Drosophila melanogaster: one gene and its partners. The protein of the gene in region 2 purifies or fractionates together with the protein of the main gene of each other region. This does not show direct contact. Each region holds a gene or a part of one and is shown on either strand. Other genes may lie near its edges.

Evidence for each region.
Region 1: the proteins of PQBP1 (region 2) and Ref1 purify together in Drosophila melanogaster (affinity purification with mass spectrometry, with the first as the bait; one study listed by BioGRID). This does not show direct contact.
Region 3: the proteins of PQBP1 (region 2) and yps purify together in Drosophila melanogaster (affinity purification with western blotting; one study listed by BioGRID). This does not show direct contact.

The regions. Positions count from the first base shown.
Region 1 is NT_033777.3:7,076,079-7,082,164, forward strand, and holds Ref1 (RNA and export factor binding protein 1), read right to left. Parts: upstream 4,310-6,086; 5' UTR 4,132-4,309; coding exon 3,886-4,131; intron 3,378-3,885; coding exon 3,176-3,377; intron 2,942-3,175; coding exon 2,744-2,941; intron 2,330-2,743; coding exon 2,175-2,329; 3' UTR 1,826-2,174; downstream 1-1,825. Other genes in the region: CG1943 (uncharacterized protein), read left to right, coding at 841-1,197.
Region 2 is NT_033777.3:25,062,347-25,067,218, forward strand, and holds PQBP1 (Poly-glutamine tract binding protein 1), read left to right. Parts: upstream 1-3,444; 5' UTR 3,445-3,531; coding exon 3,532-3,595; intron 3,596-3,655; coding exon 3,656-4,287; 3' UTR 4,288-4,372; downstream 4,373-4,872. Other genes in the region: stac (staccato), read left to right, coding at 1-274, 332-422, 487-560, 620-985, 1,044-1,304, 1,362-1,531, 1,589-1,770, 1,832-1,923; veli, read right to left, coding at 2,301-2,450, 2,515-3,068, 3,132-3,168; Stt3B (catalytic subunit 3B of the oligosaccharyltransferase complex), read right to left, coding at 4,661-4,732, 4,787-4,872.
Region 3 is NT_037436.4:12,120,513-12,127,933, forward strand, and holds yps (ypsilon schachtel), read right to left. Parts: upstream 4,639-7,421; 5' UTR 4,375-4,638; coding exon 4,200-4,374; intron 3,063-4,199; coding exon 2,325-3,062; intron 2,262-2,324; coding exon 2,164-2,261; coding exon of another isoform or gene 2,152-2,163; exon of another isoform or gene 1,643-2,151; coding exon 1,595-1,642; 3' UTR 1,168-1,594; downstream 1-1,167. Other genes in the region: CG11560 (uncharacterized protein), read left to right, coding at 1-76, 131-547; Ir68b (ionotropic receptor 68b), read right to left, coding at 4,975-6,882.

The DNA of each region.
Region 1 (6,086 bases), about 18 Mb from region 2:
AATTGCCAGTGTGTGTGGCCTGTGTTTGTTGTTGTCGCCAACAGCCACCCCAAATGGGATACACCCCAGGCGGGAGTTGGGCGGAATGTGCCTCCCCCAGCGGATGACGCATCATTACAAATGCTTCTTCACCGCACTTGCCTCAGATGTCATCGCCTGGGAGGCGACCTCTTTTCCGCCATAAGCGAGGCAAAAAATCATTACGAAACTAATATTTGTCATTTGCATCTTGGATGCGAGGAAGTGTGTTTTATAGATGATATGTAAAGCATATTATTTTCATATATACATATAACCCACTTTCTATTAACTTAATTAGTTTCTTAATTGACCACTCTGACTATTGGCACTTTATATCACCAAAGGACTTTATTGTTTGAACTGTAGTCAATGGTCAATGCCCAAACGCACTTTTTGAGCCCACTGTGCGAACGCCTAACACAAAAACGGAGAAATGAACAATGGCAAAAACAACAACGAAAGTGCGACAGCCACAAAACGCGCAATTACAGTTAACGGCAAAGTTAAAAAGTTGAGGGCAGCGCAGCAAGAAAAATAGATGAGTTTCTATATACATACATACATACATATGTGTGTAGAGAAACCGTCGATAAGGTGGCAGAAGGGCAGAACAAATGGGTCTCTCGTTTTCACTCCACTTCGCCAAGATTTGCCAGTGGTGGGGTGATGTCGGATGACGGGCGTCATTGTGCCGGGCGTCACATCCGCAAGTGGCGTGACTGAATTTGTAGTCTAGGGTACTCGTATTTCCGACCGCATCTGATTCACTTTTCATTGTTATGCATTGCAGTCACTGAAACCACAACCAGCAGCGACAAAATGACATCCACCGAGCTGAAAATCGGCCTGACCACCAGTGCCCGTCCCTCCAGCCGAGTGCTGAAGCCCCCAGGCGGCGGACACACCAATATCTTCTCGGAGCCCGACGTGGCCGTTCCCGCCCCGCGTGCCAAGTACAACCAACAGAACTCCTCAAACCTCAATGCCTGCATGGGCTCCACGGATCCCAACAAGGTGGTGGAGAAAATTCGCGAAGAGGTCTCCATCCAGAAGGAGGAGGCCAAGTCCGCCCCACCCAGCCAGCCCAAGGAGCCGGCGAACAAACCAGCGGCCACAAATGGAGAGGCACGCGGCCGAGTTCCACCCGGCGGATTCTCGTCGGGCGGATTCTGGTAGAGGGAGGAAGGAGGGAAGGAAGTGTGCCCGGGAGCAGAAGCAGCTGCCAAGCATTTAATGACTCACCATCACATCCTCAGACCGACATAAGAATCATAAAACTATAAATATACATAACTCGCTTATAACATACGTATACACCTATATTTAGAGGCGCATTACCTATATTAACCTGCTGATCAGCCGAAGAAGAAGGGAAACTGATTATATTTTGCCAAGCAGCACTCCAAGTCGTTCTTCCTTTCGCCCTTTCATTTTCATGTCCCACATTTGTTCTATTGTCTAAGTAACAGGTTTAAAATGTCTAACGAAATTGTTGAAATTAAGTAACTCGTGATTCCGCCCCACAAATACGGATGATATGGATTGACTTTGCTAAAATCTACCACCTACTAAGCCTAATTTAGCATTTGTACTTAAAGTGTCCAATCGAATCTTCTTATAGTCTGTAAAATTCGTCCAAACGAATACCAATATAACCATCGATGTATTACTCCAAATAAAACATTTAATTGTAAGTGATGGCTCTTTTATTTTTGCAAGTTGATGGAGATTCTTCGGAGTCCGCCGCCGCCTAGTAATTAAACAATACTCCTAGCCTATTGAGTCAGTAAATACAATTCGATTTGGTCACGAAATTAATTCTAGTATTTATTACAATTCAGTTTAATTTGACAAGGTCCATCAATTTATCGTCGAACTTGATAAAGCGCATTTCTAAATACAATAAATACAGCATCAAATGTATTTCAGTTATCTTAACATCCGCCGCATTGGCAAAACTAACAATTAATGGATAAATGCGCAAGTGGTTGATTGATTTGATGTCCGATGCTTTCAAAGATCTGCTCCTGGGCGCGGCGTTGTCGATGCGTTTGCATTTATGTACCATGCGGGGGGTGTCCATATGGTAGGCTTAAAACTATAGATTGGGCTGCTCTTCTATTCTTGTTAGACTAATTCAGACTATTCACTATTTAGATCTTCATGTCGTTGATGTATGAGTCCAGTTCGGCGTCCAGCTCCTCAGCAGTGGGCGGGGCCTTGCGCTCCCGTCGCTGGCCGCCTGCCGCCGGCTTGCCACCGACCGGACGTTTGAAGCCGCGACGCGCCGTGCCACCAGCTTGGCCACCTAAAAAACAGTTCGGAATGATAGTGTAAGCATTGGAGCAAGGATGGATCGTCATGGGACCGTATCATGGTCATTATAGAAAGGTAAGCTTTCATATGTGGAACTGACCTAGTAACGTAGTTTACCCAACAAACATCGTATTAAATCGAAACAAAAGTTTGAATAATTACAAAAGCTGTTGACAAGAAAACATAACAAAGAAAGGAAAGTATTTCGTATAAAAAGTCAAGTAACAAAATTTGAAACCTAAGACATACTAGGTAATCGAAATAAATAGGCATTTAAAAATCTTTGTGGGAATGGGGATAGATCCAAAATTGATCTGAAATAGTTTTAAATGAACGATGTTTGTGGTAAAAATAAACGAAAATGGGCATCATTCACGGTCCCTGCTGTAGCATTTTGGATACGCACCACCACGCTTGAATGAAGTTGGTGCAGTACCACCCACGCGACGCTTGACATCGGTGGCGGCTACGGGACGGGTCAACACGGCCACGTCTGAGACGGCCAGCTGAATGGTCATAGGGCGTCCGTCCAAAGGTACGCCATGGTACTGTTTAATGGCCTTCAAGGCGTCGGCGCGACGTTCGAAAATCACGTCAGCGGTGCCTGCAAAGAAAAGTGAATAAATCAAATACATGGCAATAGCTTTAAATTTCGGCATAAATCAAAATACTAAATAAAAACCGCAGCTTCATCGGATGATCTGATCTGTTATCAATTCAAGCCGATTTATATTACTTGGAATGTCTGTTACTGAACCATTCTGCCGCCATTTTATGAACAGCATGTACCGAAATGTTTCACCTAACGACAGGTAGCTGGAGTAGTACTAGCACTTACCCAACGAGCGACCGGAGCGATCGTAGTGCACTGCCGCCTTCTTTATCGGACCAAAGTCGTTGAAGAGCTCCTTGATGTCCGTGTTGGATACGCCGTAGTCCAGGTTACCGACGATGAGGCGGGTGGGTCCAGATCCTCCACCGACGGCACCCCTCTTCGGTCCGTCGTACATATCGTGCTTCCAAGCGCTGTTCACATCGCCCTAGAGGTGGGGGTAGTATTAGGTAGAAGGTAGATGGGTATGTCTTCGAACGCTGCGCGTATCAACTATATGTATGTGGCGGGAGTAGCCGTTGCAGTAGCAGTTGCATCGTATCCTAGCCACAAGAGAGGACAGCCATATTGAGCGGAGACACTAGAAATGCTTGTTAACTGGGTATGGTTCACGTGGAAAACGTGAGGCGTGAGACGTGAGGAAAAATAAGTTAAGACACAGGTGTCGTCTGTTTGGTATTCTGTAAAAACGGGGTTAAAGGAACTTGAACTTGAGGCTCTGCTCGGGCTCGAAGAGTTGTTCCGTCCGTTGGAAGGCGCATGGTGGCCATTTTGATTTTGGTTTAGATTCTGAGTCTGTTTTTCGCTTCCAAGCACTGTTGTGCGGATCATGGGCCGCAAGACACTTGCTTTGGTAGTGCTCTGTCCTGGTGAACTGAGCACGGGGATGGTCTGCTCCGGCTGCTCCGTTTGGCCATTGAAACGCAATGAATTACCCGTGGGAACTTGGCCTTCTGAACGGCTCCGGCGGCCACTCCTCCTCGCGGGCCCTTGAGCACGCTTCCTGGCTTCCTGGGCGAGCCGCCGGCATTGGCTCCGCCGCGGCGGGCTCCACCAGCAAAACGCTGCTGTCCGCCCGTTTTTCGGGCGCCACCTGGTCCGCCGCGGGCGGCTTGCGGCTTTTTTTGCGAGCGTGTGGACTTAATGATGTCGTCGAGGCTCATTTCAATTTTGTCCACCATCTTGCTTATTGCGTGCTGTATTGACTACTTGGAGATCGTTTAAAGTCAAGGGAAAGATTGGGTCTCTGCTTGCTACTGAAGAATGTGTTTAAAGCGTTTTTTTTTTAAGGAGGAGCGCGTGGAATTTCACAAAACTTTGCAAAAACGACGCACACAGATCTACACAATCGCCATATTGGTTCAGAGGAAAAAAGTGTTGAATAACGGTGTGCGTCAAGATAACGACGACAACGAGTTGTCAACGAAAATGAAACGGCGAAATAGGGTAAATACGGAAATTATATAAACATAAAATATAACATAACATTAAAAATTATTATAATTCATATTCACGAAATATCCTAATAATATGGGAAATATCCACTTTTGAAAATGTTTAGAACCATAATAAATATGTGATTATAATAATGTTGTGATTAAATGTTGTGATTAAAATGACTATGATCTTGGAAAATTATTTGGAATGATTACCTCCCATCTAAGTTTTTTTTTTCTCTCTTTTTATTTACAATCTGTCTTAAAAAAGTATGACAATAAGTACATTTTATAATTAATCTTATATTAACAGAGGCAGTAGTTATCCATTAATCCCTACTACATACTCTAGGCATAACATGTTTTAATACTTAAAACCTGTCAGGGAGGTCTAGCACGTAAAATCTTTTAAGTCTTCTGACGTTGTTATTACGTTTTACCAAACTTAAGGCTAAGTTATTTTCATGTGTTCTTAGTCTGTCTATATATTTTTTAATATGTTTTGCTATTTCTTCTTTAACATAAGGGATTCCTAAGTCTTTATGGATACTTGCATTTGAAATAAAAATTGAGCATCAACAATTTGTCTTAATATTTTTGATTGGTAGCGTTGTAGAATCTAAATATTTGAATTGCTGGTATAAGTTTAGTATGGCTTTGTATAAACGGACTTTATTTTCCAGAGTGGTTGCAGATTTTCGGCAACCAGCAACCAGGTCATCTTCAAACTTTTTAGATTTAGTTGCTGGCGCTTTGCTTTTATGTGTTTTTTCACGTTAGTCTGGGATCGAGGTGCAAGCCAAGGTACTTTATGCAATTACTTTGTGGGCAGTCATCTCTTCTTAATGCAAAAGTTATTTGCGCAGATTTCAGGGCGTTGACATTAATTTTCCAAAGAAGAAACCAGCGTAGCTCTGCTTGCAGGAGTTGTGAGGCTTCTTTAGATGAGCTGGTAGCATTTCAAATTAAAAAAAAAAAATTAAATTTTAATTTTGAAGAAAATTTTCAACATTTAGCTTATAAACAACTTAATCTTAATCTAATCCGAAAATCTCAAATGGAAATACAAATTTCTTGATTGGGATACAGCCTAGTTATACCCGTTACTTGTAGAGTAAGAGGGTATACTAGATTCGTTGAAAAGTATCTAACAACTAGAAGGAAGTGCTTCCGACTATATAAAGTATATATATTCTTGATTAGGAACAATAGACGAGTCGATCTAGCCATGTCCGTGGAGATCTCAGGAACTATAAAAGCGAGAAGGTTCAGATTCAGCATACAGCCTCTAGAGACATAGACCATGTTGCCACGCCCACTCTTACGTTCTCAAGCCGTAAAAAACGCCACGCTCAAACTTTTGAACAATTCTTCGAATTTTTTCAAAATTCTATTAGCCTTGTAAATTTCTATCGATTTGCCGAAAAACTTTTTACCACGCCGCTCTAACGCCCTAAAGACGCAATTGAAAAATTTTTGCTCATTTTATTCCCCTAGATATTAGATCCCTCCCAGAAAAATGTTGAAATTTCGTGTTCGCATTTACACTAACTGGTATCTGTGAACTCGACTATAGCATTCTCTTGTGCTTTTATTATAAATACAACCATAACCGTTTTATTTTGTTTTTTAGGAACAGTTACGCAGAAGTGGCCCACAGTGCCCGCGAGTTTCAGTATTTTAAAAATAATTATTTAAAC
Region 2 (4,872 bases):
ATCTCTTTGCTCCGAGCCCCTGGAACTGTCCAACTTTTACCCGTGGTTCGAGAGGGGAGTTACCCACTGGCTGGATATTTCAATAATTAAGGCATTGAGTCGCATCCAGAAAGCAATTGATTTGGATCAGCTGAAAGCGGTCGATGAAACAGTGAAATACAGCTCCTCGGCAGTGGACACACTTTCCATATTCTACCAAATCAAGATATTTTGGCAACAACTTGACTGGCCAGAGGTCGAGGGTTCCTACATCTTCGTAGCCAAAATCGTCAATGTGAGATTGAATACAAATATAGTTATGTTATCTTTACTAATTATTATAATTTTACAGGATCTTTGTCGCTGCTGCATATTTTATGCCCAACAGATGTCCCGCAGAGTTGAGAATATTTTTATTGCTGATGATAACAATAAAAATTTCAGTAAGTTCTATTGGAAACCATTTTTTATCATATATTGTTTGTATTGAATTTATTTATTTTATAGTTTTGTCGGAGGAGTGGTGCATAGCGATAAACAACATGGATTACATCCGGCAGAGCTTACCTTCATTCATAAAGGTAGAGGTTTTATTTACCTAAATCAAACAAATTTATTGAAAACAAATAATTTATTTCAGGAACTTAGCATTGATGACATTATCAAGAGATTGGGGGAGTATCGAACTAACTTAGAGGCTGAGAGATGCGCAAGCACCATCAAAACTGTCATTGAAAATGCATTGGACACCGAACGCAATCAGATTGTTGAGCTCATAGAGATTGTGGCCAGGAAAATGGCACCGCCAATTAGACGATACTTGGCCGAAGGTGCTGAGGTGCTCGCCAAGGACTCCAACTCCATGGACCAGTTAATGATGTACCTGGAATCCTCATTGGCCACACTCTACGATACTCTCAATGAGATTAATTTCCAGAGGATACTGGATGGCATTTGGTCAGAGTTATCCATTATAATGTATGATCTAATTCAATCAAATCTTGACGTAAGTTCTGACCTATCAAGTATGAAACAATATAAAAAGAAATTGATTATCTTTTTAGAAACGCCGACCACCAGCTTTCTTCCAAAATTTGAACAATACTCTTCAGACAATGATGGACTGCTTTAAAATGGGCAACCTTCAAACTTCAGACATAAAAATATTGTCTTCAATTCAAAGTCGACTAAGGCTTTATTCCCTGGAGACATCGGATCTTATTCATCAGTATTACTTGGAGCGTCTAGAAAACCAAAAGAGCCAAGAGTCATCTCCATATGGACAACTTACCATCACGGCTCAGTTAACTGATACCGGCTTATTGGTAGGACTTCAATCATTTGAAACATAAAATCCGCTTAATGAGTTAAATATCTTATAGTTAAATATCTTAAATGCTCGCAATCTGCTGCCAATGGATTCAAATGGTTCGGTGGACTCATTTGTTAAGGCCAGTTTCATGCCCACAAGTCGATTCAACGACGTACCCACTGTGAAGACCAACGTGCACAACAAAAGTTGTTTTCCGCTTTACGATCAGGAGTTTCGTATGTAAGTAGTTACTTTTTAATTTATGCATCCATATATAAATATACCTTCATTCGGCAGAAACTTGAGTGACCACCAGCGAAGTGAAAAGAATAGTCTTATTGTATTTAGCATCAAAGATAAAGATTTATTCGGCATGTCGAGCCAGTATATAGCAGAGAGCTATATATCTTTCGCAGATCTGGAAGCGACACCACCGGGCGAGCAAATAATGATGAATCTATCCAGACCAGAGTATACAGGTACCTAATCATACTTTTGGCAGATTAAAACTGGAAACTTATACATGTTATGTGCTTTCAGATTCCGAATCACTGCGTGCCTTGGAATACAGACTAGGTGATAAGCAGGCCAAGGATTTCCTTAAAAAGCTGAAGAACCGATCCTTCTCCTAAATTGTGAAAAGTTATACGTTGTAAAGAAAAGCAATAAAACTGTATTTTTATATTTTCTACGGCAATCGTACTAAAATTTACAAAGTTGCGTTTTGAAATGGGCCCCATTTATGGACTGAAACTTATGAAGAAAAGATTTGCATTGTCTGACAGTTTTAATTACATTTATTGGAACAAAAACCAACGCGGTAATTAGTTACAAATACATAACACTCACTTTTTACGATTAAAGAGTAATTTTCCAGAGTTTCTTTGTAATAAATAATATATAAATGGTATTTGTGTTAAATTATATTATTCGTAAAGGGCTTGATACGTGCATATCAGCATGGTCTAATGGCAAAAACTACTATGGCACAAGTTTTTGCCGATGTGCCTTATTGGCGACGACGTGTGTTGCGTTGCTTATCAAATCGCATTTCCATTTCCTCGAGAACCTTTGGTGTGTAGCGTACCACCAGCTTTACAGATCCGACAGCTTGCTTTAATAGCTCTACGGCCTTCTCGTGGTTTTCTCCTTCGACAGACTGAAATATTGATATTTTGCAAGTTCTTAAGGAGTTAAGGTACATAACTGAATTAATGACTTACCACACCATTCACAGACAAAAGTTGATCTCCCCTTTTCAGACCACCATGCCTGTCAGCCACGCCTCCAGGTATTATTCGGGATATATAGATGGGCGAGTTTTGCTCCTTGCCCCCCATTACATTGAAACCCAAGCCTGAAAAACAAAAATTAAAGATTGATAAAGCTTTCCATATAAGATGTATAATAGAAACATATATTCTCGGTCTATAGACCTTTACAATCAAGGTATTGGTTTTATGATATAGGGGAATCCCCTCGATTCTTAGCTCATAGGGGCGTGTCTTACCCTCCTCCGTTTTCGGGAGCTCGACGACTCTGGGATGAGCGTGCCCCTCGCTGGCTGCGAAGGCTGCCACAGTGGCCTTGGCAGTGGCGGATGCCCTCACGTCGTGGGAGCCCTGGATGTCCACCGTCTCGTAGACGTGCTCGTACACCTCCCGCACGGAGGTCATGAAGTCCGAGTTGAGCACCTTCTGCAGGGCGGCCAGTTTTGTCGTGGGGAAGTCGCCACTCGCTTGCAGCTTTTCCAAGAGCTCTATCGATCTTTTGACATCTGAAAGTTAGAGCATTGGGTGTGAGTTTCCTCCAACTGGGAATGGTTAGCATGCACCCTTACCTCTGGACAAAGTCAGTGGTTCTGCGTTATCGGCCATATTGCTGTTCAATTTAATAATAATCAGTCAAATTGAGCTGACCTGAAATATTATTCGAGCAGCTGAAAATAATATGACCATACGTCTCAGGGGCACAAAATACCATTCCGTGAAATTATATTCTCTATTTGAAATAATTTGGTTTAATAAAATAGTAACAAAAGTTATATTTTTTATATTTAACAATATATCATATACTTATAATCTAATCTCAGTACTTTTCGTTTAAAAAATTATCTTTTGAAACAAACAAGTTTCTTGAAAGTGTGGTATTTTATGCACGTACATCCATGGTCATATTATTTTATATTGATATTATTTCCGCACCGTATTTATTTAAACTAACAATAGAATAATAGCAAAATGAGCCTGCCAGCTGCACTATTGCAGCGCCTGAAGAAGCGCGGACTTGTGACCAAACAGTCGGGTAAATACAAAGACCAGTATAGAATCCAAAAAGAGGATAACCAACTTCAGCTTTCCACAGGAGCAGCACCGATTTCAGAAGCTATAGAAGAGATTATAGCCGAGAACTACGATGACGATGACAAGAGCGGCCCTTACCCGTACAAGGAGGACACATCGCCGGAGCCCAAGCGCAGGAGCGTCGAGGAGAAGTTCTGGTCGCACCGCATCAAGGAGCGGATCGGCGTGAACGAGTCCTACCATGGCTACAAGCTGTGTCCCAACAAATACAACATATACCACAAGTGCTCGCTGTACTGCGTAAACAAGTTCAACAGCTCGCCGCTTTCGCAGCCCAGCCATAGGTATCTCAAGCGCTACAAGAGATTGCTGCGGAAGTATCCACTGGAGGCGGGCTGGAAGGATGTCTACGATAAGGGCTGCAAGGCGTTTTACTTCTATAACTCGACCACACAGACTGTTTCGTGGCTACCTCCTTCGCATCCCAAAGCACGGATCACCAACAGCGCCGCAGTGTTTCGCAGACAACTGGCCAACTCCAACGATGAGTTCAACTTCGATACCAACATGGTTCAGCCCAAGTCTTCTAACCAAAATGAACCCGACGAGCCCGACGTATTCGTTCCCGCCAAGAAGCAAAAGTCCAGGGACCTGGAACGAAAAATCCAACGACGTCGCCGTAATGATAACTAGCACTACTAACTAGCCATTTGACTTATGAGCTGTAGATCGCTACTGTTCAAATAAAAATGAATAACTATGATAGATATTAAGGTTTAAAAATGTACACTCTGCTTTATTGAATTGCTAGCTTAAGACAATGAATGGTGGAGCCGCGAACAGATTTAAATCGAAGGAACCGGAAATTTTACGAAAGCAGCAACTCGATAAAATTGTGTCGCACGAGTCGGGAAGTATGTGAAAGTTGAATTTGAGGCGGCGATTAAAGCCCTCAACATGAGGATGCGGTGGACACACTTTCACCAAACTATGTGCTATGTGTAAAGTGTTTTAACCAAGTTATATATATTGGTGAAAGATCAATACAATTATTTTTTTTTTGGGTTTATTTCAAGGTTCGTTTTCCCTTAACAACAACCGGTCGGTTTCGTATGTAGCCCTTGCGACGCTTAGAGTTCTGCAAAGAATCAGATTGTTAATGAAGTTCATTGGGAGCTGCAGGGTACACTACCTTTCTCGAAATGAAGTTTGCTGGAGGAATCGTTCTCTCCTTGGTCTTCAGTGATGGTCTATTGAACTCATGCGGCTTCTTCACCC
Region 3 (7,421 bases), on a different chromosome or scaffold from region 2:
GGTCACCATGGATCCGGAGACCCAGTACAGCGATCTGGATGATGAGATTGAGGCTTCTTTGGAGGAGGAGCAGACTGTAAGTACTGCACTTTTATACCCATACAAGTCAAGCTGAAACTACATAATTTAGATTATCCTGCAGCTGAAATCAAAACGTGAATTGGAATCCTCCCACTCCAGACCCCTGCTGAAGCTCTTCTCCGAGGAGAACTTGTCGACTGAACCAGAGGAGCCGGAAGACGAGATTGAGATTGTGGAGGCGGAAGATCAGGTGCCCATCGAGCTGGACCTATGTGACATCCAACATACTACATCCGATGCTGGCGGTGAGGCAATCGAACCCAAGCCAACGGAAAGTGTCGCCCAGTTCGATGCCAATGCCATTTCCGAAGCGGAATCCTATGCCAAAGCCTGGGCTCACGCCTTCCTGCGGCTGAACGAGGACCAAAAGTTCTACGCCAAGCGCTCCATAGATGAACTACTGGTCTTGGGTCGTCTGGAGCGACTGAGCATTTCCACGGTCACATCCTTGACCACAAACCTGTAGCACCTCACCATGCCAATACCGCATATGTAAATTAGCTTAAGAATTTATTTATATTGCAGACTCAATGATTTGCTCACTTAACGTAGATCCCCAATAAATAAATAATAAAAATTAGAATAAATATATAAAATAATATATTCGATAGCGATTTAAGTAAACATTTATAAACTACACTTTAGTTTAGAATTTACACAAATAAACAATACCAAAAAGTGTTTTTCAATTTTTTTATTTTTTCCAATACGTTTTTAAAGTTTTTTTTTTTACTTTCCTTTGTTGCCATCTTGCGTTTGTTGTATATTTTTGCATCTTTTACAGTTTTTTTTTGTATGTTTGTTTGCTGTGATTTACATGATTTCGTTCTTCTGTTTGTTTGCTCTGCTTTGCTTTCATTTCTTTTCGCCCGATGGCTATGGTTCTCGATTTCGGATGATGCATAAATGGGACAAAGTGGTGGTGTGGTTATTGGTATAGGTTTACGTTTTTAATGATCTTTAAATCGAGTAACTTAGAGTTATGGGTTTGCTTAACGCACAACGGGTAACAATGCTTTCAAGAATAAATAAATAAAAAATGGTAATAATCATTAAAGTAAATTGTATACCGGCGCCATCTAAATTGCAGTGTAATTGAAATTTATTTATGTTTTCGTGTTTGGTTTGTTGGTTCATACAATAAAAATTCCACAATTATGCAATTTTTTGACGACGGCCAGGCTTGATGGAAATTTTATACAATTTTTTGTTTGTTTTTGAATTTGATTGAAATTTTGAGGATGTTAGTTTTGTTGTGGTATGAGTTGTACAATTGATTCTCTGCCCTACGAAACTAAACAAAAAGCAAACAAACCGAAAAAACGCGGCGGCTCATTTAGCAAAATTTGCTGCAACATTTGCTGATCTTATTGCACCATGATGTTGCATTGGTCGCTGATGTTGAGGATGGGCTGCTGCTGCTGTTTTTCTGCGATTGTAGTTATATACTGCGGCTACTGCTGACGATGTTTTTGTTTGTCGGTTGACGATTTAGATCCTTTCGGATCCTTTTCTATGCAGTGCTCTCTGTGGTTGTATTTTGCAGCTCTTGAGCGCCGTTCTAGGAATTTGAACATGGGAAAACATGGCGAGGGGGGTAGAAATCATTAACGTAAGTACAACTTCAAAAATAAATCGAAGGGATGAAAGCAAAATGCTGGTTTCGGTTGTAAATTAAGTGTGTGTGTGTTGCTTGTTAGCCAATTAGTCACAGGTTAGGTAACTAAAAACTAAATGTATTAGAATGTTATGTTAGACCCAAAGCCTCCAAGTTAAGTGTAAAGTGTTAAATGTTAGGGTGGTTTCTCCGCTTTATCGCTGTTTCTCTGCTTTTGGTGTCGGTGCGTGTGGCTGCTCTGGTTGTTAGTGGTTATTTACGAATGCATCTACACAATGCACTTTAGTTAGTTGTTTAGTTTTTAAGACGCCTTCACCATGTTATTATTGTAGACCTTGTTGTTATGCTTGCGACTGACTGTTGCTGATGTTTACTAATTTAGATGTTGTTATCGTAGGTTTGTTTCGGCGAAGATGTTTCAGTTGTTTCTGCTGTTGTGATGATGCTGGTGATTAGTTCATTACCTTCTCTGGCTGCTGCTCCGAACCACCGCCAGGGCCATTTGGTTTCCTCTGGCGACGTGGACGTGGCTGTTGTGGGCGTGGCGGTCCCTGGCCTTGAACTGCAACAGAATAATATTAATAATAATATATACCAATTATCTAATAGCACAAAGTTCACTCACTGTATTCTCCGCCGTCGCGGCGTGGTGGCGGTGGACCATTGTTGAAGTTGCGTCGGAAGAAGCGCCTCTGGGGTCCGCCCGGTGGGCCTCCACCGCGACGTGGTCCCTGACCCTCGCCGCGCTGCAGACCCTCGGGATTCTGATCGTGGACACCGGGCTCGGCGCTGCCGTCACCGCCGCCCAGGCCGCGTCTCGGCTGACGCAGATAATAGTTGTTGTAGCGCCGGGGGCCACCGGGAGCTCCACCAGGCGGTCCTCGGGGGCCACCTCGAGGTCCTCCGGGCGGTCCACCGGGTGGTCCTCGGCGGAAGTTCTGTCGTGGTTGACGCGGGCCGGACTGCACCTGCTGCTGCGGCTGCCCGTCAACGATTGGTGCCGCCTGCTGCTGTTGCTGCTGGGCCGACGATTCGGCGTCTTCGCCTTCCACTTCGCCATCCTTGCGGCGATTCTTCTTCATCCAGGGACGGAAGTTACGGCGCTTGTCCGCTGCAAACTGACTGCCCCGCACCGGCTCACCGGAGGGACCGGTCACGTTGGCCGCCTCGTTGCCCTTCTCACCAATGACCACGTCGAACTCAACGACCTCACCGTCGCCCACCGAGCGGACCGCCTTTTTGGGGTTGTTCCGCGCAATGGCGCTCTGGTGCACAAAGACATCCTCTCTGGTGTCGTTGCGGTTGATGAAGCCGTAGCCGCTCTTCACGTTGAACCACTTGACGGTGCCGGTGACTTTGGTGGCTGCAATGGGAAAGAGTAGAAATTATAAACAATTGGGGATAATAGTGGGATTCAATATTTTTGGCGGTACTTATTCTACAAACGTGTGATCATTTAATTGATTTCAATGGTATAATACTTGTTTGGGATCAGTTGCAATCATTCCTTTATCAAATATTATAATCCTTTAAACATTATACATGCAACAAAAATATTAGGGAACAGTAGGGATGCACAGCGAGCTGACTTCTAAAATACAAATAATTCTACATAAGAAACTTAAATTATACAAAAGGGGTAGTTTTGAGATAATACTTTGCATTTTTTTTTTATTATAAAGGAGGGGCAAAACGCAATACATCTGAAACTAAACTAATACGCAGTTTGAAAACTCATTGAAGCGTGCAATAACATTGAAAGACGTTTTATAACCACAAATTATTGGTTAACAATTATTTAAAACTATGGTTACCAAAATTTCGAATAAACCATATAAGTATGCATATAATATGTTGATTTACGCGAAAATATAGTGGCATCCCAAATTATTTGGCAATATATTGTAATAGTCGCCGAATATTATTGTATCTTATTGGTTGCATTATGGTCTCGTGTTTTGAAATCGCCTTATAGCCATGCTTCCATGCGTTTTAGTGTGTGTGTGCAAATAGATGTACCAAAACAATGAACACACACATCCACACCCGGCTGTCTGCCCTCTCGTTCGCACTCCCGCTGCGCGCGCATTAACAAATTGGGTTGCCCTGGCTCGCTCTGCATGTGTGTATGTGTGTGTGTGTGTACACCTATGGGGGGGCATTTTTTAAAGAGGCGAAGCGGGTGGGGTTGGTGGTTGGGTGGGTGGAAAGACAGACGACCGGCAAAAGGCAGAATTTTCAATTTGGTTAGCCGGCGGCGCGAGCGTTCGTGCACATACATATATACATGCGTTGCGTTGCCTTTGGCCGCACAAAATGGCCGACGCGCGTATATTTTAAGACTCAAAACACACACACACACACGCATACAGGGAGGCATGTTTCTTGTTCTTTTTTCCTCCTTTTTTTCATTGCTATTTTGGTAGCAGCCGCCATGTGTTCGCGGCACATGAATGAAATTGGTTGGGAATTGGGTTTAACATGCGAGTTTCAGCCTTACCGATGACTTCCTTGGTGGGCGGAGCGGGCTGGCCCTGCTGTCCCTGCAGCTCGTCCAGCGGCTCCTGCTCGTGATCCTGCTCCTGCGGATTCGGCGGATTCTGCTGCTGCTCCGGCTGCTGCTGCGCCTGCTGCTGTTCGGCGGCCAGTGGCTTACTCTCCGCGGCATCAGCCATCGTTTGTCGTGGTTTTGTTATTTGTTGTTCGGCGACGACGAAAACGAAAAGCGGGAAATGCTGCTGCTGCTGTTGATGATGGTGGTGCTGCTGCTGCTGGTGTTGTTCGTGTCTGCCCGGCTGGTATTCGGGGTCTTGGGCACTCTCTCAACTGCCACTAACCACTTTGGATGTTGTTTTTGAGTGTGATCTTAAAACACTCGCCACTCGCAGGGTTTTCTTTGCCTTAGCGATTCTATTTTGTTCGCAAGCTCCGGAAGTGAAACATGACAGCCGGAGGCAGGGTTGCTGGTGATCGGACTATCGATGGGTGCTATCGATGCTCTGATACTGGGGGTCTCCAGTGTGCTGTTACGCGCGGAATGTTAAGCCATAACAACATAAAAAGCCGTTACATTTAAATTTACAAGAAAGGTTAATTGGAATAAATGGTTAAATTCATTAAATGGTTAGAATAATATAAAACTACAGTTTTATCATTAAAATGTATAAAACAACATGTCCAACTAAACAGCGGTGAAATTTATTGAAAACTTAGTATAGTATTTACAATAACAAACATATATGTACCTTTTATTTAGTAATTTTTAATATTTTTAGTTAGCTTGTTCTAGCTTCAACCGCATTCCGAAGTGTCTGTCTCCGCCAAAACCAATGAGCGTGCTCCACTGCAAATCCCAAGCAGCTTATGCCAATCCCCACGGACCAGAGATAGAAGGCGCCCTGCAGGATGTCCAGAGTGAGAACCACCTTTTTGTTACGAATCGCCAACTCGTTGGAGCCGGAATCCGTGTCCGTCTGGTCGCCCAGATCCTCGAGAAACTCCTCAGCATCCGGCGACGCACCAACCCGGGTGATCAGATCCATTTGACGCCAGTGCTCAAAGAAGCCGTGCTCGAGGAAGCCACTGTACAGAGATTCCAAGCGGTGCAGAAAGGGCGATCCTCTTGGTAGGATGTAGGTGCATATCATAGAGCGCAGATATTCCCGGGCGATGTGGTAGGCTGGTCGCTCTGCCTGCGAGTCATAGGTGATGGCCAGAAAGTCACGGGCGTGAAAATCCCGCATGATAAAGGCCGCTCGTCGATCCCTGCGCCGGACCACCGGCTGGTAATAGGATGTGGCTATTCCCAGTGGCAGCTGGCGACTACGGTTCTCCAGCAGACCGTATTGGTGCTCCGTCAGGGCGCTCCTAACTGCGTCATACATCGTGGTCACCGCATAAATGTGCACATCCAAATGTACCAAATCGTCCACTCGGTCCACCTGCTCCTCGTAGCTTGGTCGCACAAATCCGGACTCCAGTTTGGCAAAGTAGATGGTGGACAGGACGTAGCTGAAGAGGATCCAACCCATGAGGAACGTTCTCATCGAGCTGAAGGAGGATAGCCTGCCCGCCGGTTCACCCACATGTGTCTTGCCGAACATCTCGAGAATCTCATACCACGTTGCCTGAAACTGGATGACTCCGCGACGGGGAATTCTTCGCTGCAGACGTTGCATCACCCAGAAGACCAGCACCACAACCAAAAGGGTGACCAAGAGCAAGTACCACACAGTTCGCCGAAAGACACGCACGAAGATCAGGTACTCCGGCTGGATTGCGGAGGCGGGCACGACCAGGTGCAGGTTGCGACGGGTATAGGGATACAGCACCTCAACCGCTGGCCAAATGCAGTCGAGCACGAAGCGGGAATTGGGTGCAAAGTGGGTGTGACCACCGACTATGTCGCTGACCACGCCGGTGTAGTTTCCATTCGGAAGGCAACGACCGTAGGATTCGTTATCCTCCGGGAAGACATATGTTACTGAGGCATTCAACATCTCGCCAACAACTCGGGCCGCCACTCCATCCACTGCCTGATAGCCAGCTGTCTCCACAGGACTCCTGGGCATCGCCATCAACGGATCCGTAAACATGGAGAAACGCAATGGGTAGCCGCGCAAGTCCTTCACCTTTCTTGCGTACGGCACTTCGCCATCCAGCCGCTGAATCACTTGGAGACCACCCCAAGCAAAGGGATCAAAGTCAAAGGTGCCATTTTCCCTGCCGGTAATGGCCAATCCGTAGAGCAGCTTCTTGGCCCAACTGCCGCGAAAAAGTCGCAGTAACTGATGCCTTCCGGCATTTGGCCAAACAAACAGATACTTGTGCATATGCTTGCGCCTCTGGTGAGGATTCAACATGTCCAGGATGCGGCGTACCAAGGAATCACCCTTTTCGGCAGCCGGAATTTGAAAGATGCTTAGGCTGTCCGTTCGTCTAAATGGTTCCAGCTCATGTGCTTCCATGTTCCGTGTGATTACGGGCAGTCTACTGCCCACACACCGATAGAGATCCAATTCCAAGGCAGAGTAATCCGCATCGAAGGATGCCGGGCAGCTGGCACAGCGGTACAGATAGGTCACCTGGACATTCTGCTCTACGGCTATGCGACAGGCAATCTCGGCAAGGGCATAAATGCCAGGAAGATACCATTGGAGCAGCAATCCAACCAAAAACTTCATGTTCTACGAGCAGACTAACCAGTGAAATATCCTTTGGGTGAACACAACACCTGTAGAGGATTTCCCATGGGAGCCGTAATTCCCAATTAGGAAAAGCGATGCGTGAGCAGTTCATTAGTTGGCTAATATTTTTGGGGTAACTTGAAAAAAGTTATCAAAACTTGATTTCTACAAAATAATTATAAAAGGAATAAAAGGACATTACAGAAAATGAATGAAAGTAAACGGAAGGTTTGCAATAAAATGGGTTTTTTTTTATTTGAGTTTCTAAAAAGCAATAAGATTATGCATTTATAAAAGAAATCATTTTCTTTTGATTAGCAACTAAACATTTGAACAACATTTTGCATTAATGTATACTTCTAATGATAAGGTGTTGTTTATTCTAAATCGGATGAATCATATTTTGAAGACTTTGCGAATGACGCAGCAATGTGATCACCTTGAATAGACGAGACTCATATGTTCTCGAAGTCTGAATAATATAAAAATATATATTTCAAGATATACCAATACCAATTTCAAAACTTGAAACGCAA